Arabidopsis thaliana: one gene and its partners. The protein of the gene in region 3 purifies or fractionates together with the protein of the main gene of each other region. This does not show direct contact. Each region holds a gene or a part of one and is shown on either strand. Other genes may lie near its edges.

Region 1 (6,153 bases), about 16 Mb from region 3:
GCACTGATAATTTCTCCAAGGAATTTACGAGGAGGATTTGGTTTGTTTCTCCTGCGTGTTAGAGTTTTACGATTTCTCTGTCGTTTGATTTCTTAATTCTATCCTCTGAGAGAACGAGAATTTGGTTTTCGTTTTCGAATTTAGGGTTGAAGAAGCGGTTTCGCATTGGGTTTGTTGTCTATTGAGCCAATTTGCTAAAGGAATTGAAACGTTGCGAGTTTTTGTTTCCCGGAGGTCCGAAGTGCGAATCTGTTTTGTTTAATGAAATTAGGGGTTTGGAATCGGAATTTGAATAGTCGTTTATGTTGACTACGCGATAATAGCTGAGATAGGACATGATTTTGAAACGGATTTTGACGACATTCGATAATCTGAATCTGAAGCGGTGCAAAATTGATTTAGAAATTGAGTATGGTAGCCAAAAGGGTGAGATTATGGTGTATAAGAAGAGACAACGAGCAAGCGTTGATCAACCATGTAGCAGAGAACCCGGAGTTCTAACAAGTAGCTCAAGCTCCTTGACCAGTAGAGAAGAATCTCAACAAGTGTGCTCTGACCAGTCCAAGTCTTCGCGTGGCAGAGTTCGAGCGGTTCCTTCAAGGTTCAGGGACTCCATTGTTGGTACATGGAAATCCTTGAAGAGTCGCAAGGAAGAGTCGACGGAGACATGTATCTGGGGAAGCTCGAAATTGCATCGAAGCAAAGACCCGAAGCTGTTTCCACGTAAGGATAACGAAGACAGCAGCGAAGTAGATTGCGATTACTGGGATGCTAACTTTGGTATGCCGAAAAAGTCCGACGCCTCGCGTAAGGGCGTGTACAAACCAGAGGAATTTACAGTCGGCGATCTTGTCTGGGCCGGCTGTGGTACAAGCGCCTGATGGGGTCTTGAAACATTGCGTCCCTGGCGCAATACGTGTCATGTTTTTTGGGTACTCTAAATGGAAAAAAATTGTCAATTGTCAAAAAGTCGTGTTAAATATAGATGTATTGTACAGATCTTTGACTTTGAAGTACTTCATTTGCTGATCACAGCCTCATCTTTATCTGTTTTTTTTACACTGTAATTATAGATTGGATGCCGATTGGTGCCTTTGTGCTTGATTCTCGAACTTCACTCCTGACTGAGAGTTTGAGTGGTCGCCTGAAAGTCCCAAAGGAAGGAACCATAGAACGGATGTTACAAAAATGTCTTATTCATGATCTTCAGAAACTTTGTCAACTGCAGGAAAAACTGTAACATATGGCTTATCTCATTTTCCAGATTTACAGCTTGTGCGACCTGTTTGTGACCTCAGTACCTGTGAGGTAAAAGACACTAATCAACTCTAATCTGTTGCTGAAACTTTTGTATTGATCTCTTGCAATAACTAAATTGCAACTAAGAGTGTTTCTGTTTTACTATGTAGGAACAATGCAAACTCTTGATGCTAGGCACATTGAACTCTTCCTTAGTGAAGGCTACAAAGATGGAAGCTGGGACTACAATCTGATTGGATCTCATAAGTTGCAGAAAAACGCAAGTGCAGCTTGTGGAGCCATATTTGACCTCAAACACCATAAAGAATCTTCATCCTCAGGTAACTTCAAATCTTCATTACTGTTATGTTCCTTTACTTCTCCTCTTTGAATCATTCTCCTTTGTCTCATACAAATTTCACATGAAACCTCTATAATAGGTATTCTCAACCTCAAGTCTTGGACCGGACAGCCAGATATTTCCCAACCTAAAGCAGTTATCGCACCCCATGCAGTTGCTGTTCACACAAGATTGCGAGAAAACGAAGGTATATAACTTTGCATCATCAACCATCTTTATCTAGAAAACACAATTACAAATAATTCTCTTGCCAAAAGGAATTGAATCCAAATTTGTTGTTTCAGTTGCGGAAATCCAATCAGTATTGTGGCATTTGCAAGAGAGTATGGCAGCCCTTCAAATGATGGAGATTGGGTGAGAATATATGTGACCATGTTTGGTGAAATACAGACCTGTAAGAAATGATTACATCTATTTAGCTGACTTGATTTGATGTATTAGGTTTATTGTGATGAGTGTGATGTATGGCCGTATGGGTGCGACAATAATTTATATAAGCGCTTTAAGGTACACCTTCATGCATCTTAACTTTTGATTCTAAGTAATGAACACGCTTGTTGAACTATCACACTAATTTGGTTATCATCTTAAGGAACTGGAGCACAACAGTTACTATTGCCCTAACTGTAAAGTCCAGCATGAGCTTATCAATATTAGAAGAACAGAACTCAGTGTTCAAGTATATTGTTAACTTCTCATGTTCTCCTGATTTTATTGTTTGCATTTCTCCATTGCTATAATATGCGAGATTTCCTCACAACCTCTTTGGGATTGGTCTACAGAAAAGGCGACACAGACTGAGCTGCCTGATGAGATTAATGTAGTCTGTAATGGCATGGAAGGAACATATATCAGAGCATTTCATGCGTACGTATTAGATGTCTCAGCCTTATTTCAATTTCTTCATTTAGAAAGGATCTTATTTGTTTATGAATTATGACTATGCAGCACAATATCGTAAATTGATTTTTTCTCTGAAAACGATAAAAAATCCGTGTTTAATCCTAGGTTTCTGTTATCATTGTCTTGTTGTTTTAGAGATTTGACCAACACATTAATCTTTGAACTATTGTTTCAGAATTGAGTGCAAGTGTGGTTCATGTGGGTCAAGGAAGCAGTCACCAAGTGAATGGGAACGGCATACAGGCTGTAGATACTAGATAGCGTAAGAGTGAAAGACACAATGCTACCTCTAGAAAAATGGCTTTGCATGAAGACTTTGATACTATATGTATCTGTATATGTAGAAGAGTATCAGTTTTATCTAAATGACTAGTCTCCAAATTTGTGGTTTATTGATTTCGTCAGAATGGTAGGCTCTTTAACTGATTTAAGGTGAAAACTACATTGGTCTTTGTTCAGTGTTAGATTTGTCTTTTGTGGGTTTGGAATGGATTAAAGAGGAGTCTTTTACTGGATTTTGTTGAATGCTAGATTTGGGTTTAGTAAACAATGAATCCTTTACTGGTTTTGAAGGATGTTATATTTGAAACTGATTAGAGCTAAACCCTCTATTGCTTAGTGGTTCTTAATTTAAGGGTTTTGCCGCAGCTTCCCTAATTTAAGCTTGTTTTCTAATACAAAGTACAAAAGCAGTGTGTTCGTCAACTATCTTCTTACTCTGTTTTCGTTTAGAGAGTTTTTGCAGAGATGAGGAGAACTATAACAATGGTGATAAAGATGTCAATACTTATGATATTGATTTCATCAATGGTGATGAATATGGTCGAGGTTGAGGTTGACCAGATTGAATCATGGGTCAAGGACTTCCAGGTTTCATTCTCTTTTTCACACATTCACACAAGCTTTATGTAAAAGAAGTATATATGAAATCAATATAACCTAACCAAAGAAAATGTTTTCTCTAGGATGGAAAAGCTGCTGTCCACAAAAATTCTCAACCTATTCCAGCTGAGAACAACGAACCAGTGAAGCTTGTTGTCGCCGAGAGCCTTGACGACATAGTTCAGGTCAGCGAGCGGAAACGTTGTAGTATACGAAGGAGACAGGACAAAGGAAGACTTCATAGTTCAGGGTTGGTGATACTAGCAGAAGATGATGAGGAAGAACACGAAAAGATGGATTAGTTAAAGCTTCCAAAAACTGAATCAAAACAATCATTATTACATTAGTTTGTGGTTGTGGATTAGCAATGTTTAAGTAGTTTGATCTATCAATCTCCTGAATTTCTAGATTGCAGATATTTTATCTCATTTTGCTGTCTCACTTGATTCGTGGGTTATATTGCTTAATTTGATTTAAACTCTGTTTTGTGTGGTTACATAGGACTCTGTTTCGCCTGTGTATAGGAAGAGAGTAATGACGTTGAGTGTACAGAGTTGGAGAAGGGTTTCGAGAAAAAATTGTAATTCTTGAATTCGTCTCAGCTTGAGAATAGTGAGTCCATGGACTTTTACCGGATATGAGTTGTACAATGCAGAGACTGATCCCGAACTGAAAGCTGTTATGAGAGGACATGGGAAAAGCCATTGGCTTCGTTTGACCGGAAAGAATTTATGAGTAGTAAGTAGCATATCTAAAGTAAACGCCATGCAAACAAAGAAAACAATGATGAAGATATAAGAGCATCCACATTGGTGGGCTTTTAGCAAATGTTCTTAACAATAATTTTATAATTTATTTTGAAGTTAAGAGTTTTGATAAGAGTTTTTTTTTTTTAAGAGTGTATTTTGTCTCTTATATAAGAGCAAAATCTTAGGCCTGGGCATTTTAACCGAACCGAACCGAACCGACCCGACTCAACCGAACTCAAACCGATCCAAACCAAACCCAATCTAAGACTCAAACAATTCGGTTGTATTTTATCTCAACCCAAATGGGTCGGTTCGGTTCGGTTTTGAACCAAACCGAACCGACAACCCAATGTCTTTATATACTTAATTAATTAATTCTATAAATAATATTACAAATAACTCTAAATATTTATTTATCTCTAACTAAAACTCTAACCCTAAAAAGTAAAAACCTAAGGTTTACTTCTAACTTCGTTTCATTTGTTCTTCCGTCGTCTCTCTCTACTCTCTACAGCCACGGTATGATTTTTAACTACTCTCTAGCAATACAATTACGCTCATCTCAATTTTAGTTAAATATTATGAGTATATGATGATTTTTTCAATCTGTACGTACACCGCAAAGTCATGGAAAAGAAAAATCTGTGTTTGCGTTGTCTTGTTTCTTCTATTTACTTAGATTTTTTAATTTTTAAGAATAGGTTTCATGTAGGTTGGGTGATTTTGTTTGTTTACAATATATATAATATATTTTAGCATTCATACCAATAATCAATGGATTTTCGTGCAAGAAAACAGATCATACATGTTTATTTAGTTTACTAATAATGAAAGATGTTTTAATAGAAACGTAATTGTATTCTTTCAATTGACTAACAATTTTATACATGTTTTGTTTGTAGATGTCTAAAAGAAACACGACTAGCAATAAAAGAAAAGAACCCGAGTCTCCAACAGTGTCGCCAAAGGCAAAAAGAAAACTACCTACAAGATCAACAGCATGGAAAGTCTTTACGAGGTTGAAAGATGATGATAATAGTTGCTCATGCAATTATTGTGGTAAAATCTATTCATGTAATCCTGCTACATGTGGAACCAGCAATATGAACACACACATGAGAAAGTGCAAAGCTTATTTGGATCATCTTGAATCTAATTCTCAGAATGTCATAGTCTCTAGTGGTGGTGGTAATGGTGCTGGCATGATAAAACCTTTTGATCAAAACGTGTGTAGGCAAGCAACGGTGAAAATGATTATCATGGACGAGTTGTCGTTTTCTTTTGTGGAGAATGATGGGTTTAAACATTTTTGTGAGATGGCTGTCCCTTGGTTTACTATTCCATCGCGAAGAACAATTACTAGGGATGTTGTTGGTCTGTACAGAGCTGAAAAAACTGCATTGAAGACTATTTTAAGTCGTAATAGGCAGGCCATGTCGTTTACCACTGACATATGGACTTCTATTACGACATTGAGTTATATGGTCGTTACTGCTCATTTTATTGACATGGATTGGCAATTGCATAGAAGAATTATTAGTTTTAGTCCTATTCCTGATCATAAGGGAAAGACCATCGCCAATCAGTTTTTAAGATCTTTGGATGATTGGGGTATTGAGAAAGTATTTTCTATCACTGTGGATAACGCAAGCGCCAATGATAAAGCTAATACTGTTTTGAAAGAGAGGCTAAGTAACAGAAATAGTGATGCTTTGATGATGAATGGTGATTTTATGCACATACGTTGTGGTGCACACATTCTTAACTTGATTGCCAATGAAGGTCTTGAAGATATAAGTAATAGCATCGTAAGTGTTCGTAATGCTGTAAAATATGTGAGGACTTCTAATTCAAGGCTGGAATCATTTAAGCGTTGGGTGGAGGTTGAGAAGATAACAAGAGGAAGTGTGGTATTGGATTGTGTTACTAGGTGGAATTCTACCTACTTGATGTTGAAAAGTGCACTTAAGTATAAAGTTGCATTTGATAGGATGGCTGATATGGATAAACCTTATGATG
Region 2 (7,474 bases), on a different chromosome or scaffold from region 3:
GCTTCCCATAACCCCAAACATATCACACACTCTTCTTCTTCATCCTCCTCTTCCTCGTTTTCTTCGTAAACAAACAGAGGAATTGAAGAAATCACTGAAGAATCCAAACCTTTGTCATCCCTTGTTGCAGTAGCAGCTGGAGAAGATACTCCATCATCAAAACCTCCGAGTGGGAGAGAAGGTATGATTCTTGTTGTCGTCACTGTTCTTCTCCGGTTTCTTCGTCTTCTCCGGCGATGTCTAGCGGCGGCGGAGAAATCTTGATGAGAGGGAGACCAGAAAAAGCGAGCGTAGAAATGGAGAAGCAAGACGAAGAGGACGACTAAGAGAAGGAAGACTAGAGCAGCTAAAAGAACATTGGAATTGTAAGAAGATAAGATCTTGAGGAAGCTTGAGAGACTGCTTTTGACACTCATTGAGCCGCCGTCTTCTTCACTCATAATCTTGGAGAGACTTCTCTTTTATCTCTTGATTTCTTTATTTTGTTGGAGGGCCAACTATATACATGTGTCTAGAGTAAAAGTGTATAGTATAGGGATAATCAAAATTACGCATATTACGAACAAAAATGAAAGAAATATATTAGTCGTTTTCCTTTATATAATAAACCCATAAAATCAGGATATTTGGTCAACAATAATTTCTCAATTTAAGAATATTTAATAGAAGTAGCTAACTCATTCTTGAACCTGAAAATAATATTGAGGACCAATGTATAATTCCTTATGAATAAAAAAAAATTATATATATGGATTACATGCATAATCATTGTTTGGAATATTGATGAAATGTGATGTGTAGAAGTACTTGAAAAGAAAATTATGGGCCTTTGTCTTTTAGTGTGTTGTGGTTGCAACCAAAATAATAGAGTTTAAAAGAAGGGTGGGGTTTGTTTTGTATCTTTATAACTACATTATGAACCAATCTCTAAACATATGTTGATATATATACTTCCATAGATTTTTTTGTGTGTTCTATATATATACTCGATTTTAGGTTCAACTTCAACACATGACCTTGTCATTAAACAAATTACATAATAGTCTTAATACATCAAGTAATCCTGCGTTCCTAAATTGTCATTAGTAAGATGAAGAACTATATAAACAAATGAGAATCAGAAATGGGTAATAATACAAGAGAAGTAGGTAATGGATGTCACATGAAAGTTAGCTTAGAAAAGAAGGCAAGTAGGGTGAGAGATCGGAAGATTTTACGTGAACATAAAGCAAAAGTAGAAGACGAGGAACGCTATGCAATTTTTTCATCAAAACCTCTTTACACGTTTCTCTATTAATCAAATCTTATACTACTACTTTTATTCGTTTTTCTTAAAAAGCATATATTATAGTATCATATCATCTATACCTGCGACATATATATTCGATGTGCGCAGGACCTAACCACGAGGAGCCGAGGAGGGTCTTTGATGGTAAATCTTCAAAACTAAGTGACTCGTCAAGGCGACGGAGGGAACAAATCCCCATGATTCTCTAAAATGATAATTTTTTTCACTTCTCAATATTATAGACTATAGTACTAAAGAATAAAAGAATAATGCTTCCTAAATTTCGATTAGCTTAAGGGTCATTTAAGAGTTTTCTTATATTTTTGCATTATTCACATAGAAGTGCAGGTATTGTACTTGAGTGGTATAATAATTGTTTGTCAAACAGGTGCGAGAAAATGACTTTCCATGAAAATGGCAGTCATGGAAATAATAAGAAAGATATAAATGTAGATAGGTGAGGGGGGGGGGGGGGGAGAGATTTGGAGTCTATAATAAGAACTTTATTGACCAAAAGTGACTCTTCTTCCCATAAAATAAGGATTGCAATTGCAGTTGCCAACACCACAACACTACTCCTTATTTTGGGCCTTTATTTTTCCAACTTCCAAGCATTTAGCCTTCTTTACTTCTTTTTGACCTATTTTCTTTTGTTCCTTGTTGGTCATGTTGTAACTCTTAGCTTTATGCGTTCAGTTCCTTGATTTGGTTTGGTTTAAGCATTTTGGGTTCTTTTCACTTTTGAGAAATGAGTCGGAGTTAGAAAACCACATTTTATTTTGGTTTTGGTTTGGATATAATCGTATAATCATATAAATATAAGTATTCTTGCATATAATTAACTAAAATATGATTTTTAAAAAATATGATTTATTATAAAAGTTTAGTTTCGACTTTGATGTTCGGTATTGTTTGTTTTTTTCGCCATTTCTAGTAAATAGTAATAATATAGTTGTGCTACAAATTGTAGCCTACAATGTACAATTGTATGTAAGAAATAGTTGGCACATACATCAAAGTATCAATTATCATACATCCACTTACTAGTGCTATTGTGAAGATAAACGTTTAGAAAAACACATACAAGGGTACTTAGAAATGAGGCATAAAAGATAAAATCTGATATTCAATGCAGGAACAGCTCATGGTCAGAGGAAATTAAATGGTGAAAGAGAGATAGAGAAGTGCTTAAAACATGGTGTTATTTGTGGTGGAGCCTTTCGAATTATAGGTTTAGGGTCCATACAAATTTGTTGGGTCCAAAATTAACTAACTAGTTTTTACTTCTTAGAAGCACCACATGATTGTTCCCTTTGCTGCAACACCAAACATGTCAATTACAGATTGTGTAACCTGCTGGCCACAAATCCATTTCGGATGATTGAAGATGAAAGCAAGGATACTAATTTGATGCCGAATACTATTATCTTAAACCAAATTGACACAGTAAAGAGACGACACAATAGTCAAACACTTACACAGCAACAACATAAAAAAAAATCTTAAGATTCTCTTTCTCTAACACAGCGCAAAGACTCAAACTTTTGAAGCTACCATCATGTTCAGTGCCAAGTATAATATATTAAAATAAAGCAAAGCACACTTAGTGATGCCAACAACCAATTTTAATTTGATCACTTAAGTGCTTGCCTCTGTTTTCTTCTCTTCTTCTACCTTCTCCTTTTTTGTTTCTTTATCTTCCTTTGCAGGCTCTTTCTCTTCTGCTTCCTTGGCTTTCTCCTCACTTATATTTTCCTCAACCGAAAGATTCTCTATTAAACCAGCAGCCTCGTCGCCCTGGGTGCTCTCTTTCCCTACTTGCTGGCTTTCAGCTATTTCAGTGAACTTCTCCATAAATGTTTTGCAATCTGTTGATGCAACACTATCAGTTAGCCACTCGAGAATCTAAAACCAAAAAGACAGATGCAGACCCTAGGATATTAATCTCATAGATTATGTCAGCGTCTAATTTAACATAGATACGATTATGGTAGTTGTTTAGCACAACTTAAGGATCATGGAACCCTTTTGTTCATTTGTTTAGTGATAAGACCCACAACCGCAGAGACCAACAGAGTCTTGGAAAATGGCCTGAGATGTTTATTCTCAAGACAACAATGTCTCCCTAAAATTATAAAATGAGGCAACATTATAAGTATTGCCACTACAAAAGCAGTATTCCATTTCAGTCTTGAGCTATCTATATGGACTTGATGAATCACAATTCATGGGAGACTTAAATCATCACAACTAGAGTCTTATAAAGAATACCTTCCAAACCATCTTCCCTGATTCAACTATCATAAATTAAACATCGAATACTACTAAATGTACCCACGTTACTCTCAATCAAAAACAAGTATACGAATTTCACAAGTATAAACTTACTCTCAATGGAAGCAAATCGAATGCAGAAAAGCTCATCTTTCAACTCGCCGTCGGAGAAATCAGTAGCGTGCCATAAACAAGACTTTTCATTCCCACTATGTTCCTGAACACTCATCCCAGACGAAACTGCATAATTTCAACAAAAGATACATAAAGTTTAGCCCTTTCGAAGAAAAAAAAAAAAGATCTTCTTCGAGAGAGAATCAAACATACTGAGGTGATTGGCACAGATCTTTAGGGTTTTAGATTGTCTCATAACAAGACGAACTTTTCCAGTTTCCTTATGCTTCAATAACTTCACAGTTCCAGCTCCTCTCTCCTTCCATTGGTTCCCTTCTTTATCGAATCGATACATCTTCGATTTCCTACAAAATCATAAACCCAGAAGAATACATCTTCTATCAAAAATCCGACACTCATCTTCTATCGAAAATCCAACACTCACTTTAACCAGAGGCAAGGAAACTAGAATATTAACGGAACGAGTAACATACAGATCGAGGACGGCGTCTTCATCTTCTTCGCCGGTGGTGACTGCAACCTCTTCAAGCCTAACGATCGGAGCTACCTGAGCTCCGGTGTCTTCATCTTCGTTGACTTCGGTTTCATCTTCACGGTTCTCACGCTCTGGCTCAGTGCTCGCCATCTCTGTATTGAAACTTGAAAGTGTGTGTGTGTGCTCTGCAACTTCTTTGGTTGTTCAATTTGGGAGAAGAAGTTTCGAGAACCAGAAGAAAAAACTGGAACCAGGGTTTTTAAACTTTATATCCAAAGTTAGGCTTCTGAATTATCTCTAGTGGGCTAACAGGTCATTATCTCGGTCATTTAAGCCCATTAAGGCCCTATACGACAATTCATGATTTTGGTATGTAGATGAAGCTAGAAAGTGTGAACTCGTATCGACAATATAGAGGATGAAACATCATGGCTAAGGAACGCCACAGCTCAAAGACCTGTAATGAGTAATGTACCATATTTAAATTATGTATAATCTCTTTACAAAACTAAAAGTAATACAGATACTCCACATTTATCTTGGAGTAGAATGTAGATGATGCTCTATGAATGTACTCCATCCTTAACACATACGAAAAAAATTTGAACTGCTTTTTTTTTCTCAGTCGTGGACTGCCTTTGTAGTGTTAAGGTAGACCACCGTGACAATCTTTATATATGAACGGAGGTGGATTATTTATTTATTAATTTTTTTTTTTTTGAGAGGTGGATTATTTACAAATGGATATTATATAATGTAATCAATCATGCTTTGATATCAAGCTGATGTCACTCGACACTAGTATTCAATCAACTACTGCCGATGCTAGTACAATGTAAGCTGAATATGAACATTTATAAATTTTGGAAACGTGTTAAACATTCAATTAACAAATTTTTTTTTTGACCTGTTTTTTATCGTAACAAAATACCACTTGTTTGCCTTCTCGTTACAGTAGGAAAAAGAAACGTTTTCATTGTCGACGACTCAAAGAGTAGAACCTGAAGTCCGATAACAGTCGATAGGTAGTAAGATATTTTGACCAAAACATCGTGAATTTATTGAAATGCTGAACGAAAACTGATACAACATCATTTCATGGACTCGAGAACTCTTATTACTGGCACGGTAATATTGAATATTGATGCTAAAGTCAAAAGGGACCCGCTTAGTCATTTGTCTGATTTCCAATTTTAAAATCCGTTTTTGAATGAAGCTGCGTTGTTTCAATGACAAATCTTCGTGTTTGTATAATTTAGGGTCTGAAATAAATAGTCAACAAGCAAAACCCAAAACGATATGAACTGGAAGGTTGTGTCAGATTACAAATGAATCATCAAAGGGATTAAAATCCTCAGACAGGGATAACTGTTTTTTCATATTTGTTCTCATCATCCACAATCTAATTTCATTAAATCAAAAAGAGAAAACATAATTCCTTAGAATTCAAAGATTAGCCTCAGCAGTCCTAGTCAAGAAGATAGTATATCAACACACTTATTGAAATTTCAGTAACCATTAATATCTAATCTTCATCAGCCTCTTTATCAGATTAAACAAAAAAACATTAACCAACAAAAACAAATTGAAGTTGTTAAATCATATTAGAAAGAAGAACTCAGTCCCTTAGATGTTCATAATAATGCGATCATTACCGCAATCATTACAGGTCTGTAAACTGACTCATCACTGTTCTTCCAAAAACTTATACAAAAACCCAAATCTAGATTTCAATACGAATAATATATAGCTGCTCAGTTGTGATTCTCCCAAATCAACATCAGCAAAAATCGTATAAATACGAAATCACCGAAGATTCATAGGGAGAATTATATAAATAACGAAAGCAACACGATTGATTTTGCTTCAAGGGAACGAATCATATGGGAACGAACAAATCCACATAGACTATCTGATGAAGCCAATCTTTCAATAAACATAAATCATGATAATCCTAGACAAAAGGCAAGCCCAATAACAACAATAGAGAGAACACCAAACCCTATGAAAACTACAGGATTAAAAACGAAGCTTTTCAGTGAATTGATTTTGGATTGCTTCTTCTTAAACTCTAAAGTTGGATTTCCTCTATTTATAGTAGAGAGGTTTTGAGAAAACCCTAAAAGGCTTTTTTCCAATAAGCCCATCGAATGTATTTTTTTAAAAGCCCAATACTGTTTGTTTTGGGCTTGCCATTGTTAAATTTCTTGTTACTATGCTTTGTTTGCATGGAATAAAAATTATAATTCATTTGAAAGAAAATTTCCTCAAAAAGTTTATACAATTGACTGATTCCGTGATTAATCTTAAGATTCTCTCTTCGAATGTGTTAAAATATTACTAACCGAATAATTTGATGGAAAGAGATTTAAAAAGAAGCTAATAGATGAGAAGCGTATACAACAACTGGTTCCATGTATCAGGTAAACCAGGCAAACACCAATGGCTACAATCTGCAGACTGGTCTGGTCTAGACCTTTGTGAACCGCTAATGAGGCCGCTGTATACTGACGGATGACCGTCTTTTCTTAGGGAAGAGAGGAGTGTTATGTCGAGAAGAAACGCCGGATTGTGCATCCCGTGAAGCACTTCAACAATCACTGATCTTAGCTGATCTGTGTAGGAGCTCACTGGATAAGCTGTTCCTGTGATCGGTTCTGTTTCTCCGTAGCAGTTCTTGGATCCTGAAGACGATGATGCCGCCCAGTCACTCGGGCTGATCAATCCCAAAATGTATACAAATGGTGTCAGGACATTCATTTCAAAAACATCAGAAAATATGATCCAATATAACAAGAGAGGCTGAGTTACTTGTCGTGTGTTGGAGAAATGGAGAGGAACAAGACTTGTGTTCGGGATCTATCAACGTGAGTTTCGACCCAATACGCCCAAGTACGAAGTGCTTTCTCCATTGCCACAAAACGGTCCATGTCTTGGTAATAAGAATTGCCTGATTGAATCAAGTCCCATCTGTGTTCACAAGAAGATATATAAAGAAACTTTCACACTAGAAAATCAAGTCATTGGAAGTGTGGTAACTTACCCTTGCATAGATCCGGTGTGGCTCCACCAGTGACCAGTGTTGAAGATGAGGAGATCAGCGTCATGCCAAGCATTGGCATTACCAGAGATCTCATCCAGCTTCAACACACGCTTGCCTTGAACAGCATCTATGTCCACCAAGAACGGAGCTTTGTAAAATGACATTGTTATCCCATAATCCTATACATCAAAAAACAGTTTTCTTATAGAAGAACCTGAAAAACAAGATGTGAGCCATTGAAGAATAAGAAGAAAGCATT
Region 3 (10,863 bases):
AGGAGTAAGGACTTTGTGGTTATTAGGGTTACAAATCTGAAAACAATATTTTCCCTATATACATACTTTCATTCTTTAGTGGTAACATATATTGCATATGAACGTTTCTAGACAAGTGTATATATATTTTTTCTTTTCCTTTTCTTCATTTCCATTTTCCTAGTTTTAAATTTTCCATAAATTTTCGTAGTTACTACATAATATTTTGGGCAGGCCCTAATATTTTTGTATTGTGCGATGAAAATGTAAACTGGATGATAGAATGATGTATACGAATCTATGAAAGTATTTTAGACTAAGTGGAAAACTTACTAAATAAATTTGAGGAAAAATGGGAAAAAATGAATTTACGAAAGAATCTAATAGAAAGTAACACATGCTAATATATTTTCGTAACATTTGTCTTGTCGCAATGCAATAAGTCATTACGAAACTACTTGGATTTTTTTTTCTAGGGTTGTTGTCTTCGGAAATTTCAGCATTTTTCGCCAACTTAATTTTTCAGGGGTTTTTGTTTTCCCGTTGGCGATTTAGCATATGTACTTTTATCAATTTTTAATAAAATTAAAACTGACCAAAAAGAGCAATGTGGAAAGGGAAGAAAATGAGTAAATTATTTTAAGGTTGGACATTGGTTGTGAAAATGCTTCATTTACTGTGAAAATTCGTAACGTTTGGACATTCAATAATATAGCTTTGACAAGACATTGACTCCGGTAGAAAAGAAACCAAGAGAAATCTAATGAGATTCTCAATCGTAAATAGTATTACTGAAAGTTGTCCAATCTGTTTAGAGAGCTTTCTTCACCTCGAAAAAGTTGGAGCGTTCATTGTTCGCTGCATCAATGTCTTCCGCGGATGCCACAGCCACCGCAACACCTTTATCTCTAACCACATCTATTGCTTGTGCGAAATCCTTGAAGTCCTTCAAACTGTGGAACAACAAAAGTTAATTAACACTTTTAGTTAGGATGCAGAAGAAAATTTATTGAGAGAATGTCCTTAATTTAACCAACCTTGTTGTTAGTATCTCTTCACGCTTTCTTTGTCGTTCTTCGTCAGTTACTCCGAGTAAATGCCTCAACAAACTGGGTGAAAGAGATTCAACAATTTTGATTCAGGATCCGTTATGTTTGTTCAAATAGGCAAACAGAAACAAAATAAAATAACATCATTTACCTGCTATAACCTTTGGCATCAGGTAATTGGTATGAATCAACATCACCGATGGTGCCAATAATAGCTTTAGTGAGTGTTTCTTGATCCACATCAAGGCCACGTAAGAAATCTCCAGTTCCATCATATATATCAAGTGTCTTCAACAAGTTTGGATCCCGGTACGATAAGTAAGAAAATACTCCTGAACAAAGATATGGCCAATAGAAGAATATATTAATTGACGTAACTCTTTTCATATTCAAGAGAGTAGAAAGCAGTTATTGTACCTGAATGCGAATCGAAATCACAGAAACCTCCATATGCACCACCACTTACACGAACACGATCCCATAACCATGTATTGCTAATATGCTTTGATATAACATACGCACTGCCATCAAGCTCATACCCGGTGCTGTATATGTTACCCGCTTTTCCAACATAGTTTACCTGCAAAGGGAGTATGAGAGCGAGTTACTGTATCAAAAATAATAAACCCAACCACATTCTATATTACTATATAAACGTCTTTTTTTTACCTGGGTTGGTATTACAATGGCTTCATTTCTCAGAGGAAGTCGACCATCCCAAGTGACAAGCCCACCAGACGGGTTCTCAGGGAGTAAATCTAGAAATTTTGCAACAGATTTTTCGACATTTGTGAGAGACTTCCCATCAGCAGTCATATTAACTATGCAACCGTTTCTAGCAAGGAGAGATCTTCTGATCTCCTCAAGCGAGGATGAAATTCCTTCCCAGTCTTCATCCACTTTCTTTTCAAGAGTATGTAAAAATTCAAGATAGCTACAAAAGAGAGATGCTCAACTTTGTTAGGTTCTACAAGTATCAAAAGAATAGTAGAGATAAACTCTAAAATGTGAATAAAGTTCATTCTCAACAGAGATCAAGACCAGAGAGAGAAGACGATATAAATAAGGGCCAAATTAAAAGTTAAATAAACAATTATCAAATTCCAACCTGAGACCACCCATCTGTTCAGACATCCATCCAGCAATGTTCAACATTGCATCCATCCTCGCCGCAGCAATTCCATGACCACTTCCCCTCAATCGGTTCTGCATAGAATGTGAAGTGATGTTTATACTACTACTTTCAAGTTCCACTTATCATGCAAAGACAGAAAAGAAAACCCCTACTACATACCTCCATCCGTGCTCTGCTTTGAGAGACAAACTGTTTAAACCTCTGCTGATCTGTAAATTGAACCTCTTGCAACAAGCAGTTCATCTGCAGGAAGACAAAAAGCAATGAAGATAAGAGCCAACCTAGAAGTTTGACAGAAAAAAAATCGAATATGGGATTGAATAAATGTCTAGTTGGATCATGGTACTGATTCATGAAAGACACTGAACATTTTGAAAAGTTCTTCAATCACCATACGCTACAACTGTTTCTATATCAAGGTTACATTATATCTTAACAGAAAAAAACAGGTTTGCAGTCAGAGTGACTGTTACCATAATCCAGTAGTCATAGGCTCATAGCGAAGACATCGAGAAAACATCAAGTACTTCTTAGAGAAGAAAGAGACAAGGGCAAAGAGATGAGAGAGGCAGCGCTTTTGTATTTTGGAAAAACAGGAAAAAAATAAAGATCTACACAGTGTCACAGACTCACAGTAACAGCTGCACTGTATCTCATGGAGACCCAAGCAAAAGAAAAATCTATCAGGTAGACAGCTCTACACATCCCATAACCTAACATACACAAATCTAAACACAAGCAAATTGGTAAACTACATTTAGCAAACTAACTACAGGGCCATGGAGACCGAAGAAAACATGATCGTGATCACGTAGGCAGCACTATATATCCCATAAGCCAACATACATAAAATTAGAGAAAAATGCGATAAGCTAAAGCAAGGGATTTTTAAATGACAAAGTACCAGGTTAAAAAGGTCGTCAGCACGCCCAGCCATGGATTTTCCGCGTACGATAATTTTGCTGCATGGTTCATCCTTACCCCTCACTGATGATGTAAGGGGATAAACTGATATCCCTCCCGTTTTCCTTCCAATCAACTGATTAAGTTGAACAAAAGTCAAATCTTTTGTGCCCATCTCCAGTAATGATTGACTGTCAAAATACATTTATTATCAGAGTTAGTATATCAATACAGTATGAACAGAAGTAAAACATTCGTTATTACAGCTGTCAACGTACACCCTAAAATATAAAAAAATTCCCATGCTTTTGAAAATGCATGGCAGAGAATCTAACAACATTCTTCATTTAGCATTCCCACCATACACATTTCTGGAAAAAGTTGGTAAGAAACTCATAAAGAAATCATAAGAAATCTTTAATCATACCAGAAAAGTGGTACTAGTGGAAGAAGCTCATGTTTCAGCGAACCAATATCAAAGACTACTTCAGTATAGATAATATCATTGGTGAAAAGGTCATGCCGCAAAACCTTCACACCATTAATATCTCCAACCTATTGTTTAAAACATATCAGTAAACTTCGCAAGCTCGGGAAATAAGGAAATACAACAAAAACAAAAGCAACCTCGGTGGGAACATAAGTAGGTTCTTTTGGAATGTCACCCAAGTTCAAACTTGGGACACATCTCAATGCTTCAGGAGGGTCAGGAGTTTCTTGTTTCAATTTCAGCTCCTCTGTAGCACGTGCTAGCTCTGCAAGATCTTCTTCTGTCATAGCTGCTTTAACTTTTTCCAGGATATTTTTCTCTTCCACTTCCTCTTGAGTAGCTTTTTCAGGATCAGGCTGGCAAAACTAGTGTTAGCACAAAAGCAAAGAAACATTATATAGCAACGAGAAACTTGTAAAAGATCACCTGCATCTCTATGGTAACACGATGCGAGTTGTTCAAGATAAGCTTCTCTATCAGTGGGGAAAAGACAGCCTTGGATCCCTCCTCAGCTATTCTGGTTTTCAGGGCCTTCAATGGTTCCGTATACTTTAATGGCTCAAAAGGATCCATATCGTATATCCATTTTGACTAAAAAAAACAATAATCAAATAAGGAGTGATACCTGAATAGACATACACGTAAGCATAAAATGCATATTAACTTACAATAGATTGGAGCATAAGTGATAAACCACGAGGGAAAGATCCTGTGTTGTTTTCCCTCAAAGAAAACTCAATTGTATTCATGGATGCCTCCACAGCATCATTGTCAAACCCTTCTTCTGCCAACTTTTTCAGAGTATCCATGATCAACTCTTCAACCTTTTGAACATTCTCTTCGGACACACCTTTCAAACCAATACCGAACTGGGGCTGCAAGAGTTCGTCTGACAACCCACTACTGACAAGAGCTTCTCCTAAACCGCTTTCCAATAAGATCTTTCTTAGTGGTGAAGCAGGAGTCCCCAGCATAAGATGATCCAAGAAGCCAAGTGCAAGTTGAGTTTGCAAGTCCAAGGGCTTCTCAGACAATAGCCAGTTAACGCACAACATATGCTTCTTTTTAAGGTCACCATCTCGACCAGCAGGATATTTCTCAACCAGTCTGACAGGCTCAGAGAATAGCTTTTGAAATTTAATCTTTGAACTATTGGGAGATGGACTTGCTTCAAACATATCCAAGTATTCTGCACATATAAGAAACGCAGGGATAAGATGTATTTCAAATCGACATAGACGACAAACACAAAAAATATGAGGATTCTTTCTAGTAAGACAAAGGAGATATCAATCTTTACCACTCAAGACACGGAGGCGGTGAACGGGATCATCATCTCCATAGAACCAGATCCTGGCGTTGCTTGGGTGATAATATTGACGGTGGAACTCCTAAAATTGTCCCAAAACAAGAAATATACTTAGTATGCATCAGAAGTTACACATTACAAGAAATATACTAGCATATTAATTTGACTTCTAACAAACCTTGAATTCCTCAAATGTCAGATTAGGAATATCTTTTGGATCACCTCCACTGTCAACACCATATGTATTTTCTGGGGATAAGGCCTAATAAAAGTGAAAACAGTAGTAGCTGATTTCATCAGAACCACTATATCAAGGAAATTCAAATATGTCTCAGATTATCTAACAAGGTTTTTGTTCCAAGTGTCCAAACGACTCTTTCATGATGGCTATATCATTTAGTTGATTAATAAGGTCAAAACCCAAGATCAGGTTAAACCAACAACGAGAAACTTCTAGTTATAGTAAGCAAAACACAATACTTGCCTGTTGAGCAATTCGCCCTAAAATATTATCAGGCTGTGAATAGACCCCTTTCATCTCATTAAAAACAACACCTGAAATCAAACATCAACAATGAGATAGGATGAGTGGGTATCTGAAGTAGCTGATAAACTAAAAGATATCATCGATACTAAGAAAAGTAGAGGAAAAGAGCTCTAAAATGGAATCCTAGGTAAATAAAACCTTTGTAAGATATGTCTTCCGAGGGATCATTAAGTTCATAGTGCCAGCCCTCTTGCTGAAAGGTGTGAGCGTCATCCACACACTTGGGGAAGAAGACAGCATCCAAATATACATCGACAAGATTGTAAAAATCCTACCATAGATAGTGATAGTGATGAGTTGTGATCAGAAATAGACTCACTTTAGATAACAATAACAGAAAGAAAGAGGTTAGCCCACTGAGGACAACAAAAGAAGGACTTAATGTTTGGCTCATTGTACCTTTGTATTGGTGGAAGCAACTGGGTAGCAGGTCCTATCAGGATATGTGAATGCATTTAGAAAAGTATGCAAACTTCCCTTGAGTAGTTCAACAAATGGCTCTTTTACCGGGTACTTTCTTGACCCACATAGAACGCTATGTTCCAGTATGTGCGGAATGCCAGTGGAATCCTTCCTGCATTAACAACGAAACTATGATCTAAAATTGCTTCCATTATTAGTTTTTGCAAGTCTTTCACAAGGAGGTGCCTGTGGGACCAATATCTACTGAAAGTGCAGTTGCTCATATCGACTTTTAACAAAGCGTTAAGTAATTTGACAAGTTGTAACCTCCAAAACTTAGACCACTTTACAAGTACCAATATATTAGAAGAAGAAACGAAATGACTAGGTCTAATCAGAAAAAAAAAGCTTTGATGAGTAGAGATAAACTTGACCATTTCAATTAGTTAAATTCAAGGAGTGAAGCTTTAGGTACCAATTTCAATTGCCTAATACATACTCAGGTCAAATTTACAGAGAGTAAAAATTATTATGAAGTAAACTTACGGAGGAGTTCTGAAAACAACACCGAAGACCTTGTTCTCATCCTCATTTGACACAGACATCACCTCGCAACCAGTTTTCTTGTGTTTGAAGAGTATCGCCTTTGATTTACACTCTGAGATGAATTCTTCCGACACTTTTTCAAATCCAAGCTTCTCAGCCTCATCTTGACCTACATCTGAATCCAAACAACCAAAAATAAGGAAAATCACGCATCAGCAGAGGTTACACATGGCTCCATTTGATTACAAAGTAGACACAAAGCATGAGATGAAAAATGCACCACACGGACCACACCTATCTACAATTCACAACCTATCCTAAAGTAAGAACCACAATTTCACAAGTGCCACAAATCAACATGTCCGAATTAAGAGAACAAATCAATTAGCAATTAAACTTCAAACAGATTGAAAAAAAGAAGTATATGTGAAAAATTCCAACCAGGATAAAGTGGAGCGGGTTGTGTGGCGACGGCGCGAACAGAGAGGCGAGAGAACTGCCCATTGACACTGCGAACTGCGGCGGAGGGAATCCTCAAACCTCGTCGGAGCAAAAGACGTCTACCGGCGACTGAGGGAGAGGAAATTCGGCGAAGATTGCGACTGGGGACACGGAGAGCTGCCGTCGACGATGTGAGAGACATGTAAGAGCGAGGGAACTGACGAAAGAAGCGAAAGAATAGAGAGGACGAGCTGCGCGAAGCTAAACAAGAGACGGTTCGGAGCATAGCTACCGGAAAAAAAATATTCCCGGCGGAGACTGCTACTGACGGAGACGAAATTAAGGATATTGCAAAGAAGCTAAATAAACCCAACGGCAAGAGGTTTTATCCTTGTGTAGTTGTGTGTTTTTGCTTGTAGAGGAAAAAAGTAAAATAAAATAAAATGAAATACCTCATTTCTTGTACAACACACAAAATTATTGTGAAAAATATTCTCTATTTTACTAAATTGGCATTTTATTTTTCTGAATTTTTAAGTCGGGACAAAAAAGAGGTGCTGATTTGCAAGAAAGGAAACGTGGTTCTCATATAGCCAAATGTGTTTGAGTGTTGCAATTTGCTATCCTCCAAAAATATAATGACTACAAAATATCTTAAATCTTTTTTCATGATATTAAACTTAAGTGAAAGTATTACAAAATCTGATCAAGTTAAAAGTTTACACCAGACATATACTTTCCAGGTATTTGATTCAGAAAAAATCATATTGATCAGATTTAAACAAATTTTAAATTATATATAAGTTTTTTCTTACACACAAATTAAACCTTTGATCAGTACTAGACTACTGGTAGCATGCGATGAGCTTGCAGTAGTTTCTCTCGCACATTAGTTATGGGCCGAGAGCTAGGCCCATGTCCAGGGACGGATAAAATAATCTTCCAGATGTTTCTTTATTATCCACGTGGCGTGATCACGTGACCACGTCTCGTCTCGTCTAGTCCTAGATTAGCAGAGCCTCTCTTTCGGCCAGCGGGTTACCTTATTATCGTCACAAGACGAAACTTTCAGAAAAAGGCAAAAATCACTGTCAAAACTCAAAAGCCTTGAGACCAAATTTCCGATTTTTTCTCCTCTGAAGAAATCCAACAAATTGTACCATGATTCCAGCTTCACTCTACTTCTTCTAGGGTTCGTTCGTTTTCTGGAGCTGTTGCGCAATGCCAGTAGCTTACACATTTCCAGTTCTCCCTTCTTCTTGTCTGCTTTGCGGAATCTCCAATCGCAGCACCAGCTTCGTCGTAGATCGCCCGGAGCTTCAGATCTCAGGTCTCCTCGTCGTTCGTTCTGAATCCGGTGAATTCTTCGGTTCTGGTTTATCTTTGCGGCGGTTTCAGCGAGAAGGACGGAGGAGGTTGAATGCTGCTGGTGGTGGTATCCATGTCGTCGACAATGCGCCGTCTCGTACTTCTTCTCTCGCTGCATCTACCTCTACAATCGAACTCCCGGTTACGTGTTACCAGGTATTTTGCTCCGACTGACTTACTTTTCGGAATCTCTGTAGATACTACTATCTCTCGCGATTTGCTACTTAGCTCCTCGTTGAAGTGCAAGTGGAACTTGTTTTTATCCTTCTAAATTTTGTTGAAATAGAAACATTTTCCTCCAATTTGTAGTCTCTAGCGCGTAGAACGAGATGGATGTATTGATTTGGCAATTTAATATTGTATCATAGTTCATTTCTGCAATAGAGTGTAAAGAATGTAGCGTTTCGTTTGTTAGACATTATTCCAGGATACTGTTAATTGTATTGATTTTGCAGCTTATCGGAGTTTCTGAGCAAGCTGAGAAAGACGAGGTCGTTAAGTCGGTTATAAATTTGAAAAAAACTGATGCTGAAGAGGGTTATACAATGGAAGCTGCTGCAGCTCGCCAGGTTAAGACCTATAGTATCACTAGAGTTGGACAGGGAATGTGGCTTCAGTTTCTTGATACTTTGTTCTTAATGTGTAGGATCTTCTCATGGATGTTAGGGATAAACTTCTTTTTGAATCAGAATATGCTGGTAACCTAAAAGAAAAGATTGCTCCTAAATCTCCTCTCAGAATTCCGTGGGCATGGTTGCCTGGTGCTCTATGCCTTCTTCAAGAGGTACTACTTCTGACCTTTTATTGCGTTTTATCCCTGCAAATGTTTTGTACTGATCTTTCTGCTACTATGCTTCAGGTTGGACAAGAAAAACTTGTGCTGGATATTGGCCGGGCTGCTCTCAGGAACCTTGATTCAAAGCCATATATTCATGATATATTCTTATCTATGGCACTTGCTGAGGTAAAATCAAATGAACTAAGAATGGGAACTAGTTATCTACTTTCACTATCCTCTGCTTCTTCTATCTCTAATATGTTTGTTTTCCATTTAGTGTGCAATTGCCAAGGCTGCTTTCGAGGTTAACAAGGTCTCTCAAGGATTTGAAGCTCTTGCTCGTGCTCAAAGTTTTCTGAAGAGTAAAGTTACTCTTGGGAAACTTGCATTGTTAACTCAGGTAACAGGTTCTACTGTCTTGCATTAGTATATATAAAGCTTCTCTGAGTTTACTTTTAGCCCTGTTACTGGCTTGAATTATTAAAAGTGCATGATCATGCCTTACTGTAAATCGCATCATGTTTAGGAGCTTCACATATAAGTACGTATTGTCCAAAAGCATAATTTACCAGCATATTGGGTTTTAAGGGGTTAAAATTGATATTTATAGATTGAGGAGTCACTAGAGGAGCTTGCACCACCTTGCACATTGGATCTACTGGGCCTGCCACGCACGCCAGAAAATGCAGAGAGGAGGCGAGGTGCAATTGCCGCGCTACGCGAACTGCTCAGACAGGGCCTTAGTGTTGAAGCTTCATGTCAAATTCAAGACTGGCCATGCTTTTTGAGCCAGGCAATTAGCAGGTTATTGGCCACAGAGATTGTCGATCTTCTTCCATGGGATGATTTAGCCATTACACGGAAAAATAAAAAATCACTGGAATCCCACAATCAAAGAGTTGTTATTGATTTTAATTGTTTCTACATGGTGTTACTTGGTCACATCGCTGTTGGATTTTCAGGCAAGCAAAATGAAACGGTATATCTCGTTTTCTTTCCTTTTGTTAAATTTAGACTGATTGGTCCATTTCTTCTCTACTCTATCTGCTTATAAAGCATAACATTCAGTATGCTTGTGTAGATTAATAAAGCAAAAACGATATGCGAATGTCTCATAGCATCAGAAGGTGTTGATCTGAAATTTGAGGAAGCTTTTTGCTCATTTCTTCTAAAACAGGTATTTTTCCTCTTGCTTTCTTTATTCTTTTTCCCTATCAACTATGCTTGTGCATCTTATTTACTTCAAGTTCACTTGCTTCGAAAGATCCTTGCGTTGTTCATTTAGTTAAGTGCTACTGGACCTACATGTTGGATAGCACAGGGTTCCGAGGCAGAGGCCCTGGAAAAACTTAAGCAGCTGGAATCAAATTCAGACTCTGCCGTTCGTAATTCGATCTTGGGGAAAGAGTCGAGAAGTACTTCTGCTACTCCCTCACTGGTAAACCTTATGATTTTTACCAAGAATATGTGTTCATTTGTTGCTACGACTAGAGCGAGGGCTATGCCTGATGTAAATGGCATGATCAACTCTAGTGGAGTATGAATAAGTTTGAGCTATGTTTCAGGCTGTAATTGAAACAATGGAAATAGATACATTTAGTGGATGGTAGTTAAATTCATAGAATATGCTTTAACAGCATTGTGTATGCCTGCCGTTAACATTTTCTTTTTCGATTGGTTGTACATACACATAAATCTTAATATTTGTTTGAGTAAGCCCTTGGGTTCATGCACTAAATTTAATTTGGAAATTTTGCAAGTATGTACATCTCTTCGCTAGCTCTGATTTTTTTTCATAGAAAGATTGATAGCGACCTTCATACATGCTACCTATAAAATTGACCAGGAAGCGTGGCTAATGGAGTCCGTGCTTGCTAACTTTCCAGACACAAGGGGTTGTTCTCCATCTTTGGTAA
Region 4 (7,901 bases), on a different chromosome or scaffold from region 3:
ATCTGGTCTTTATACAAAAGCTTGCCTTTCTTCTGTATTGAATTCTCTCTATTACTCAATACGCATTTTCTTGTGTTCAAAACTATACAATTGTTTGGGAATATTAGCATTCTTAGTGTTTAGGTTTCAATGCATCTATCTTTGTGAGGTTATGTTTCAAAGTATCTATCTTTAAGAGTTTATGTTTCAAAGCATCTATCTTTGTGAGTTTAGGTGTCAAAGTATCTATATCTTTGTGAGTTTAGGTGTCAAAGCATCTATCTTTGTGAGATTTTGTATGAATTTGTACTCAAATGTGTGATGAATAATGTTCAATTTTAGGTATCGAGATTAAGCCAGGGAAGCCATTTAAGGTGATACAAAAAGATGGATTCATGGTCCATGCCTCTCAGGTCTGTATCAGTTTTGTAATTCCTGCAAGTTTCTCTCTTTGTGTAAATCCATGATTGATATTGATTGTGTTACTTGTTGTAACATCTCTTAGGTTACCCTTGGTGACGTTGAGAAGGTTAAAAAAGATGAGACTTTTGCCGTTTATGTGAAGATTGGTGATGATGAGAATGGGTTTATGATTGGAAATCTCTCACAGAAGTTTCCTCAATTTTCTATTGATCTCTACTTAGGGCACGAGTTTGAGATTTCTCACAACAGTACAAGCAGTGTCTATCTTATTGGTTACAGGACCTTTGATGCTTTTGACGAACTATATCCTTTCTTTCATTGTCTTTTTCTAGTTAAATTCATACTCACTTGCAATTTTGAAGCTTTGTTTGTTTATCCTTGATTTTGTTTTGCTCTGCTTTTTTCTGATGCTCACGGATGAGGAGATTGATTCTGGTGAGTTTATAATTCTTTAGTTGATGATTTGGTTTACTCTATTATGAAGCTTGAAGCTAATCTTTTGCTTTTTGGTTTGTGTAGATTCTGAGTTAGATGAATATATGGAACAACAAATTGGTATGTTTACTTTTTTTACTAAGCTACTGCTTTGTGGTAGTCATATTTACATGTGTATCTCTTATGAAATCTAACTTTGACATTGTTGAAAAGCTGCTTTGCCTCAAAATGAGATCAATCCTGAAGAAGATGATGAATCCGACTCAGATGAGGTAGATTTTTCTTTTAAGTATTTACTGATTAGCAATGAATCAGTATAAAAAAAAAGGTAATCTTGTTGTTTTTTTCTGTATGTTTGGTTAGATGGGTTTGGACGAGGATGATGACTCTTCAGATGAAGAAGATGTAGAGGCTGAAGCACCTTTAAAGGTGGCTCCTCCGAGCAAAAAGATGCCAAATGGTGCATTTGAGATAGCTAAAGGTGGAAAGAAGAACAAGTCATCAGGTAACGAAAACTAAAGTTAAGATATATAAAGATAACTTTGCATATGAGATGAGAATTGTGGATTATTGATTTGGTTTAAAACCATTTTGGTGCAGGAGGGAAGAAGAGATGCCCATTCCCTTGTGGTCCCTCTTGCAAAAAGTAGAAGATATTTGCACACCAAGTCACATTTTTCCAATAGAAATTTTTACTTGACTGTATTGGTGAATCGTTGAGTGACTTATGAGGCTTTTGGCATCTTAAAATTTTTGGATTATTATAATATATGTTATGTTGTCATTTTGGAGTGTTAATGGGTTTAAATGAAATATGATTTTTGCTCTTTTCAAGTTCATAAAATTTCGAAGTTGCTGGCTGATTCATGATAAGTACTATACAATGTCGATATGTTATGATCTAATCTTGATCGCAATACTAAGTAGATGGAGTATATTAAATCAGAAATAGTTGAACTAGAATATGCTCTAACAATGTATTTTATGTACATGAGTTAGAAAGAAAGAAAAAAAGACTCATTTTCTTCTAGTTTGCTTTGCCTTCATTGAATTAAAAATTCAGTGAAAACAATTCAAAATATAAAAATAATGATAATGCGTCTGCCGGGAGTCGAACCCGGGTCTATTGCTTGGAAGGCAATTATCCTAACCGTTGGACTACAGACGCTACTTGTGATTTATATATTACAATTTAAAAATAAAATCGAATTTAATTGTCGAGCGTTCCAAAACTACTAGACTTTCTTTCATACTCTGTAGTCCACTTGTTTTTTTTCTGAACGAAACACAATGTGTTACTTGACAGAAGATAATTACATTTGTTCTTGTACTTGTACACATGTAAAACGAAGCATTTTAAAATATACACTCGAACATTTATCATTCGCTACAAACGATTAACCTCTTGCTTTCTGACAGCTCCGACATACATGGCCAAACAAACCAAACAAAAAGAGAAAACTTACAAACGAAAAGGTATACTTGGAACGAACCACCGTGATTATATCGTTTTCTTAAAAAGAAAAAAGAAAAAAAGTTTTCTCTGGGATGAAAAAAATAGAATCGAATAGAGTAAAATGCCAAAATGACGCGTGTTTAACGAGTTTCGTTGGGGTCTTGGAGAGTTTAGGAAGCCACTGGTTTGGATGTTGCCTTCTTCACAGCTTCAGCGTATGTCCTGTGCTGGTAGGTTAAGGTCGACTCGAGCAAGTCCCATAGCGATGTTTTCGGGTTCCATCCTATTTTCAAAGTCCAAAATTCTATCAGAATAGCAATTGATTTTGATTTTAAAGCATATTATCTATCATGTTGGTGATTATGAAGAATTACCGAGTTGGCGGTTAATGATGGTCATGTCTGGGATTCTCTTGTCACTGTCATCATAACCTTCCCCGTAAAACTCTTTGGAGCTAACATCAACCGTTGGGCTCTCAATGGCTCCTTCTCCACTCACTTTTGCGTAAACCTGAAACATGATTCGTTTTGAGAATTGAGAACCAGCGACAGAGAAATCAAACTATTTTCATAGTTTCCTAACTGATCCATCTTCCTCACCTCGGTCATCATTTCAGCGAGCTGTCTTACTGTAACTTCGTTGTTCGGGTTGCCTACGTTGAAGATGTGCCCATTTGCCCTCTCTGGGTTTTCCTGAACCACAAACATACAATGTCATTATAGGTTTTAGTTGAAACTACTTCGAACTTCTAACATTAACAGTTTGTAAACAAAAAGCTATATATCAGGCAATGGAACGTACAATCATCAAAAGGACAGCTTCAATAGCATCATTGATGTAGACGAAAGTTCTCTGTGATTCTCCACCATCTACAAGCTTGAGAGGCTCACGACGTAGAAGATTCTGAAAGATAGATAGAGATGCATTAACTAAAAGCTTGCATATATACACAGACTAGCATTGGGTTATATACTTGGATTTGAACACTTACGTTACTAAAGCAGGCAAGGACACGTGGGACACCTTCGCTAGGACCATCAATGCCGGGGATGAAATCCATCCTAGGTCCAATCCAGTTAAAAGGTCGTACGATGGTGAACTCAAGCCCATTCTCAGCACCCTCAGCTGTCACAAGAAACAAGTGAAGTTAAGTGTAAACCTTTTGTTTTTACCAACATCATCTTAAACAGAAATGCTTACCGTAAACAAGTCTCTCAATCAGTTGCTTTGCACACGCATATGACCACCTCTGCTTCTCAATTGAACCAAATATGCAAGGGGAAATATCTTCTTTAAGAACATAGAAAGCAGGATCCTGTAGAAAGGCACAACAAACAACATCAGTAAACAGTGAACCCAACCTTAGACGAATAATATCAACTATTCCAAGCTTCTATGGGTGTGTGATAGACTAGCGGACTAAAGTCTTAATTCAATTCAAAAATACGTTTAACGAGATCCAATGAGTAATTCATAATGTGGCTATTAAAACGAACGAAAACGTCAGCTTCAACATGTTCCTCAGTACATTCATCGATGAGATTGATAAAAAGACAATAACATGTGGAAAGCGAAATGTACAAAAAGGCATTACATCACGCAGAGGATGATCCTTAGGAAGAAAGCTTCCAATGGTTTTTCCATAAACTTCACAGGTAGAAAAGTGAATGAGACGCTTGTTGTTCTCAGAACAGTATTTCACCTAACAAAACCAACGCATTACACAATCATCACTGTCTCCATCAACTTCAAAAACAAGAGCTAAAGCAAAACAATGAACGAAGCTAAGAAGAAAACACATACAACTGGAAGCGCATCAATGAAATTGCTGTAGATAGTATCAAGAGGACGTGTATTGTAATCAGCTGGAGTACAGATCGCAGCAAGATTTATAATCTGCGAATCCAAAAAGAAACATCAGAATTACATCACAACATCACCGATCTCAATACATTGCGAAACATCTGAATTCCGATAACGAATCAGATCTGAGACTTCTATCATAAACACCGAAGAACAAGAGATCAAAAAACGAAATCGATAAGCATTTTTACCAGATCCGCCATCTTAACAAGACCTTCAAGTCTCGAATCATGCTTAATATTGATACGATGAAACTGGATCCGACCACTCCATTCAACGGTATCAGGCTCAAGCAAGTGTTTGATCTTATCGTTGTAAACATCGAGCGCAAGCACCTTATGTGGCGTCTCGGTCAAGAGCTTTTCACAGAGATGTGAACCGATGAAACCTCCGGCGCCGATCATGCATATTGTCAACGGTTGTATCGGTTTCCCGTCGAGATCCACTCTATTAGCTCCATTCGCCATTTTTTTTCTCAGATCAGAAAAAATAATCAAGTTCTCTGTAGAGAGAGAATCTAAAGAGGAAGAGAGAGTGGTGACGGTGGATATTTAAGAGAGAAGATGCATCGCATGTGAACGGAGGCAAATTGGTTCGTCGAATTTTGAAATCTCACTCTCTGTATCGGCGCGTGGTGTGTACTCGCTTCCACGTGATCTCGTTTAAATTGGAAAGGATGCGATATTTTATTTGTTCGACTAATCATTTTGTATGATTATTAATTATGAATGTTTAGTAGTCTAATAATTGTGTTTAAGAGTTAAGAAAAAACTTCTTTTTAACTAGATAAATCGTTCTTTGTAACTTTCGATTTTTTTTTTTGGGTAAGCCAAGGGAGACAAAGTCTCCCAAGATTTATTAATGAAAAAGAAAATTACATTCGCACTTGACGTGAAACCGTAGCTCCACTAGTGTCATCCAACAAAATAAAACGTAAAGAATCCGGAACCAAACTAAGAGAATGAAAACCTAATGGTAACGAAAATGCATAGTTGGCTAACCCGTCAGCAAGACGGTTAGCTTCCCTATAAACGTGTGAAATACGGACTCTCCAGTCCCTTGATATGAAGTCATGGCACAATCGTACCAGGAAAGACAGCGGATGTACCTCGTTTATCCCTATCTTCAAAAAACCCACAACAATCTCTGAGTCCACCTCAATCTCTAACCGTGTGACTCGTCGCTCCCAAGCAATGTAGAGGCCATAGTACACTCCCCATAGCTCTGCCAAAGGTGCTGAACAAACTCCAATGTTCAGAGCAAAACCTCCTCTCCAAGCTCCTTCCTCATCTCGTAGCACACCACCAGCAGACGCTAAACCCGGATTACCTCTGGAAGCCCCATCCGTATTAAGTTTCCACCAACCTTCCTCGGGTTTCGACCACGCGATCAGTCTTTCCACCCGTTCTCCATGACCCCCACTCAGTGTCCTGACTATCACATGAGCCATGGACGTCTCCCTAGCCAGATCCTTTAAGAAACGCACCCGATCTCGACATTTGTCTTGAACACCAAAAATGTTGCCACACCGCCATTTCCAGGCCCACCAAATAGACAAAGCAAATAAAGTTGACCAAGTACTCTCACAAGTCTTCCGCCTATCACCCAGATTAGCAAACAACCACTCCAATAACGATTGTGTAAAGAACTCTCGGCGCTTACCCGCAGGAACTAAGCGGATCCAAATGCCTTCCATAGCAGGACAATCACGAAGAATATGTATGATTGTTTTTTCAGCTCCTTTACAGATTTGGCAAATGTCCGAATCACTTAGATGCCTCCTCCTCCTCTCAGCATTCGTCATCAGAACTTGCTGCATTCCAAGCCATAGGAAGAGCCGCACTCTCTCCGGTACCACGACTTCCCATACTCTCTTGTAATTTCCGATTGATATCAAGTCAAATTATTAATTTTTATATTGAAAAGACATTTGGAGTATTTTTTTTGGGTTATTATTTCTGATAAAATCAAATTTACATTGAGAAGAATGGCTTTGGGGAATCAATACAAAAAGTCTTTTCTACGTAGAAGAAAACTTGACCCAGCAACATTAGAGATTCCATTTTGCATTACGAAACTTAAACTGGTTAGGAAATAATTTAATTATTTGCCCAAAAAGGGAAATAATTTAAACAAAATATGATTTTATTGACGTTATTTTAATTAAGCTTCAGTCTTAACTCTTAACTCTTAAGTAGTTTCTTAAATAGTGTGTCAAAAAAAAAAGTAAGTTTCTTAATACTGCTTCTAATTTGCATGTCGTAGTATCAGAAGTTTTTTCAACAAAAAAATCATTATGAAGAGAGTTTATATGAATATCGCTAACCATTATGTGGAATTGTGGATAATGGATAAATTTTGAGAACTAATTGGATTCATGTGTTGCCTCACAGTGAGCTGACGACCGTTCGATCATTGATATACATACACATATGATGAAAAAAAGATGCTAATTTCTCGTTGCTTTTTTTTTTTGGTCTTTTCAAAAAAGGATTGAGACAAAAAAAGAAGAGAAAAAATGATGAATAATTAGGTACCTTTCCGAGAAGCAAAACCCTCGAAACTCTCATCAAATATCCTAACCATACCTTTCTTTAAAATTTGGATTTTGCACAAATCCATTTACAAATTTAATTACTTTTTCTTTTCGTAGGTATATATTTATTTATACCTTTATAAATATATAACTTTATAGGAAGAAGTATCGTATAGTACTACTTCCTACTCGCTATACAATAAATAATACAATGCGAGGTTGTTTGTTTCTTATCACAAAGTTGTACCCTATGCAACAACATTCATATAATCATCCTTTTCCCGAGCATTTTGACTGATCAATGCTTCAGTGCTTCTTCATTATCATACAACACGTTCCAACCAAACTTGAATCATGTATTTTTCCCAAATCCCAAGTTACACCTAAATGATACCAAAGATTACAAATACAACTAAACATACTCCTAGTTTTTTCTTATGGAAAAGGAAAATTAAGAACACTAGTTAGATGCAAACAAATAAAAGGAGAAAACAATAAAAATATATATATATATATATGAGTGTCCGAATCGAACGAACTGAATAATGTGGAATAAGTTTGATTCGGGATAGGTTTTGTTTTCTGAATAATCTGCAAAACTGACAAACCGAAATCGAATAAACCGGTCGGCTCAAAGTCTCAGGTTTAGATATAGCCCAAATATGATTGCAAATCACTTAAAAGTTATACGGACACCACTATTTGATCAACATAAAACCATGTTCTACAATAAAGATTTAAGAATTTTAAAAATGGGTTGGATTGGCCTGAAACTGGATTGGAAAAATTGGTATTTCTTCCTTTAACTAAATGGCACACGATCAATTTCTAATTTCTCCAAAAATACCATTTCTTTTGGTATTACTAGGTACTAGCCCATGAAGATAAAAGAATTCATTTTACTTTATTTCATTCTAGTATATTTCTTGAACAATTCTAATGCAATTTCAATGTCTTGACTATACTCTTGATCCTCCAATCGAATCCACAAGATTTTCTACCAAAACCGCTTTACGACTTACACCTCAATCGTAACCATCCATGAACTTAATTCGGCCAAAATCGATTATTCTATTTGGCACGTTATGTTATGGACTGTTCATATACGTACCACGTTCCAAACTCGTTTGTATCTAAAAAGGAAAAATTATCTCACATTAGTGATTTTTTTTTACTTGCATCAACTCTATTACTATATACTAATATATA

Evidence for each region.
Region 1: the proteins of PREP1 (region 3) and AT3G62510 fractionate together in Arabidopsis thaliana (co-fractionation; one large-scale study listed by BioGRID). This does not show direct contact.
Region 2: the proteins of PREP1 (region 3) and RANBP1 fractionate together in Arabidopsis thaliana (co-fractionation; one large-scale study listed by BioGRID). This does not show direct contact.
Region 4: the proteins of PREP1 (region 3) and AXS1 fractionate together in Arabidopsis thaliana (co-fractionation; one large-scale study listed by BioGRID). This does not show direct contact.

The regions. Positions count from the first base shown.
Region 1 is NC_003074.8:23,120,088-23,126,240, forward strand, and holds AT3G62510 (disulfide isomerase-like protein), read left to right. Parts: upstream 1-2,743; 5' UTR 2,744-2,765; exon of another isoform or gene 2,766-3,101; intron 3,102-3,248; 5' UTR 3,249-3,250; coding exon 3,251-3,373; intron 3,374-3,468; coding exon 3,469-3,687; 3' UTR 3,688-3,704; downstream 3,705-6,153. Other genes in the region: AT3G62499 (YTH family protein), read left to right, coding at 1-62; AT3G62500 (F-box protein RMF), read left to right, coding at 336-867, 1,074-1,190, 1,265-1,297, 1,410-1,580, 1,680-1,787, 1,885-1,954, 2,042-2,107, 2,193-2,279 and 1 more.
Region 2 is NC_003076.8:23,677,393-23,684,866, forward strand, and holds RANBP1 (RAN binding protein 1), read right to left. Parts: upstream 4,544-7,474; 5' UTR 4,323-4,543; coding exon 4,171-4,322; intron 4,042-4,170; coding exon 3,890-4,041; intron 3,803-3,889; coding exon 3,677-3,802; intron 3,157-3,676; coding exon 2,927-3,156; 3' UTR 2,671-2,926; downstream 1-2,670. Other genes in the region: ATL63 (TOXICOS EN LEVADURA 63), read right to left, coding at 1-440; PMR5 (Pmr5/Cas1p GDSL/SGNH-like acyl-esterase family protein (DUF828)), read right to left, coding at 6,552-6,888, 6,984-7,142, 7,216-7,394.
Region 3 is NC_003074.8:6,624,788-6,635,650, forward strand, and holds PREP1 (presequence protease 1), read right to left. Parts: upstream 7,378-10,863; 5' UTR 7,088-7,377; coding exon 6,802-7,087; intron 6,536-6,801; coding exon 6,361-6,535; intron 5,987-6,360; coding exon 5,812-5,986; intron 5,684-5,811; coding exon 5,551-5,683; intron 5,471-5,550; coding exon of another isoform or gene 5,433-5,470; intron 5,421-5,432; coding exon 5,350-5,420; intron 5,128-5,349; coding exon 5,044-5,127; intron 4,948-5,043; coding exon 4,857-4,947; intron 4,746-4,856; coding exon 4,225-4,745; intron 4,148-4,224; coding exon 3,983-4,147; intron 3,913-3,982; coding exon 3,694-3,912; intron 3,622-3,693; coding exon 3,494-3,621; intron 3,258-3,493; coding exon 3,068-3,257; intron 2,407-3,067; coding exon 2,323-2,406; intron 2,235-2,322; coding exon 2,137-2,234; intron 1,963-2,136; coding exon 1,698-1,962; intron 1,609-1,697; coding exon 1,446-1,608; intron 1,361-1,445; coding exon 1,180-1,360; intron 1,089-1,179; coding exon 1,017-1,088; intron 933-1,016; and 3 more. Other genes in the region: PARC6 (plastid division protein), read left to right, coding at 8,023-8,325, 8,625-8,738, 8,816-8,953, 9,029-9,133, 9,225-9,347, 9,558-9,926, 10,029-10,124, 10,269-10,385 and 1 more. UniProt on the Arabidopsis thaliana protein: ATP-independent protease that degrades both mitochondrial and chloroplastic transit peptides after their cleavage. Also degrades other unstructured peptides. Specific for peptides in the range of 10 to 65 residues.
Region 4 is NC_003071.7:11,862,221-11,870,121, forward strand, and holds AXS1 (UDP-D-apiose/UDP-D-xylose synthase 1), read right to left. Parts: upstream 4,779-7,901; 5' UTR 4,624-4,778; coding exon 4,348-4,623; intron 4,190-4,347; coding exon 4,097-4,189; intron 3,996-4,096; coding exon 3,888-3,995; intron 3,609-3,887; coding exon 3,494-3,608; intron 3,419-3,493; coding exon 3,285-3,418; intron 3,197-3,284; coding exon 3,095-3,196; intron 2,986-3,094; coding exon 2,893-2,985; intron 2,804-2,892; coding exon 2,668-2,803; intron 2,577-2,667; coding exon 2,464-2,576; 3' UTR 2,057-2,463; downstream 1-2,056. Other genes in the region: HDT4 (histone deacetylase-related / HD-like protein), read left to right, coding at 322-392, 485-705, 818-837, 922-957, 1,051-1,109, 1,201-1,342, 1,438-1,487. UniProt on the Arabidopsis thaliana protein: Together with AXS2, catalyzes the conversion of UDP-D-glucuronate into a mixture of UDP-D-apiose (UDP-Api) as the main product and UDP-D-xylose to a lesser extent, via a cycle of oxidation and reduction.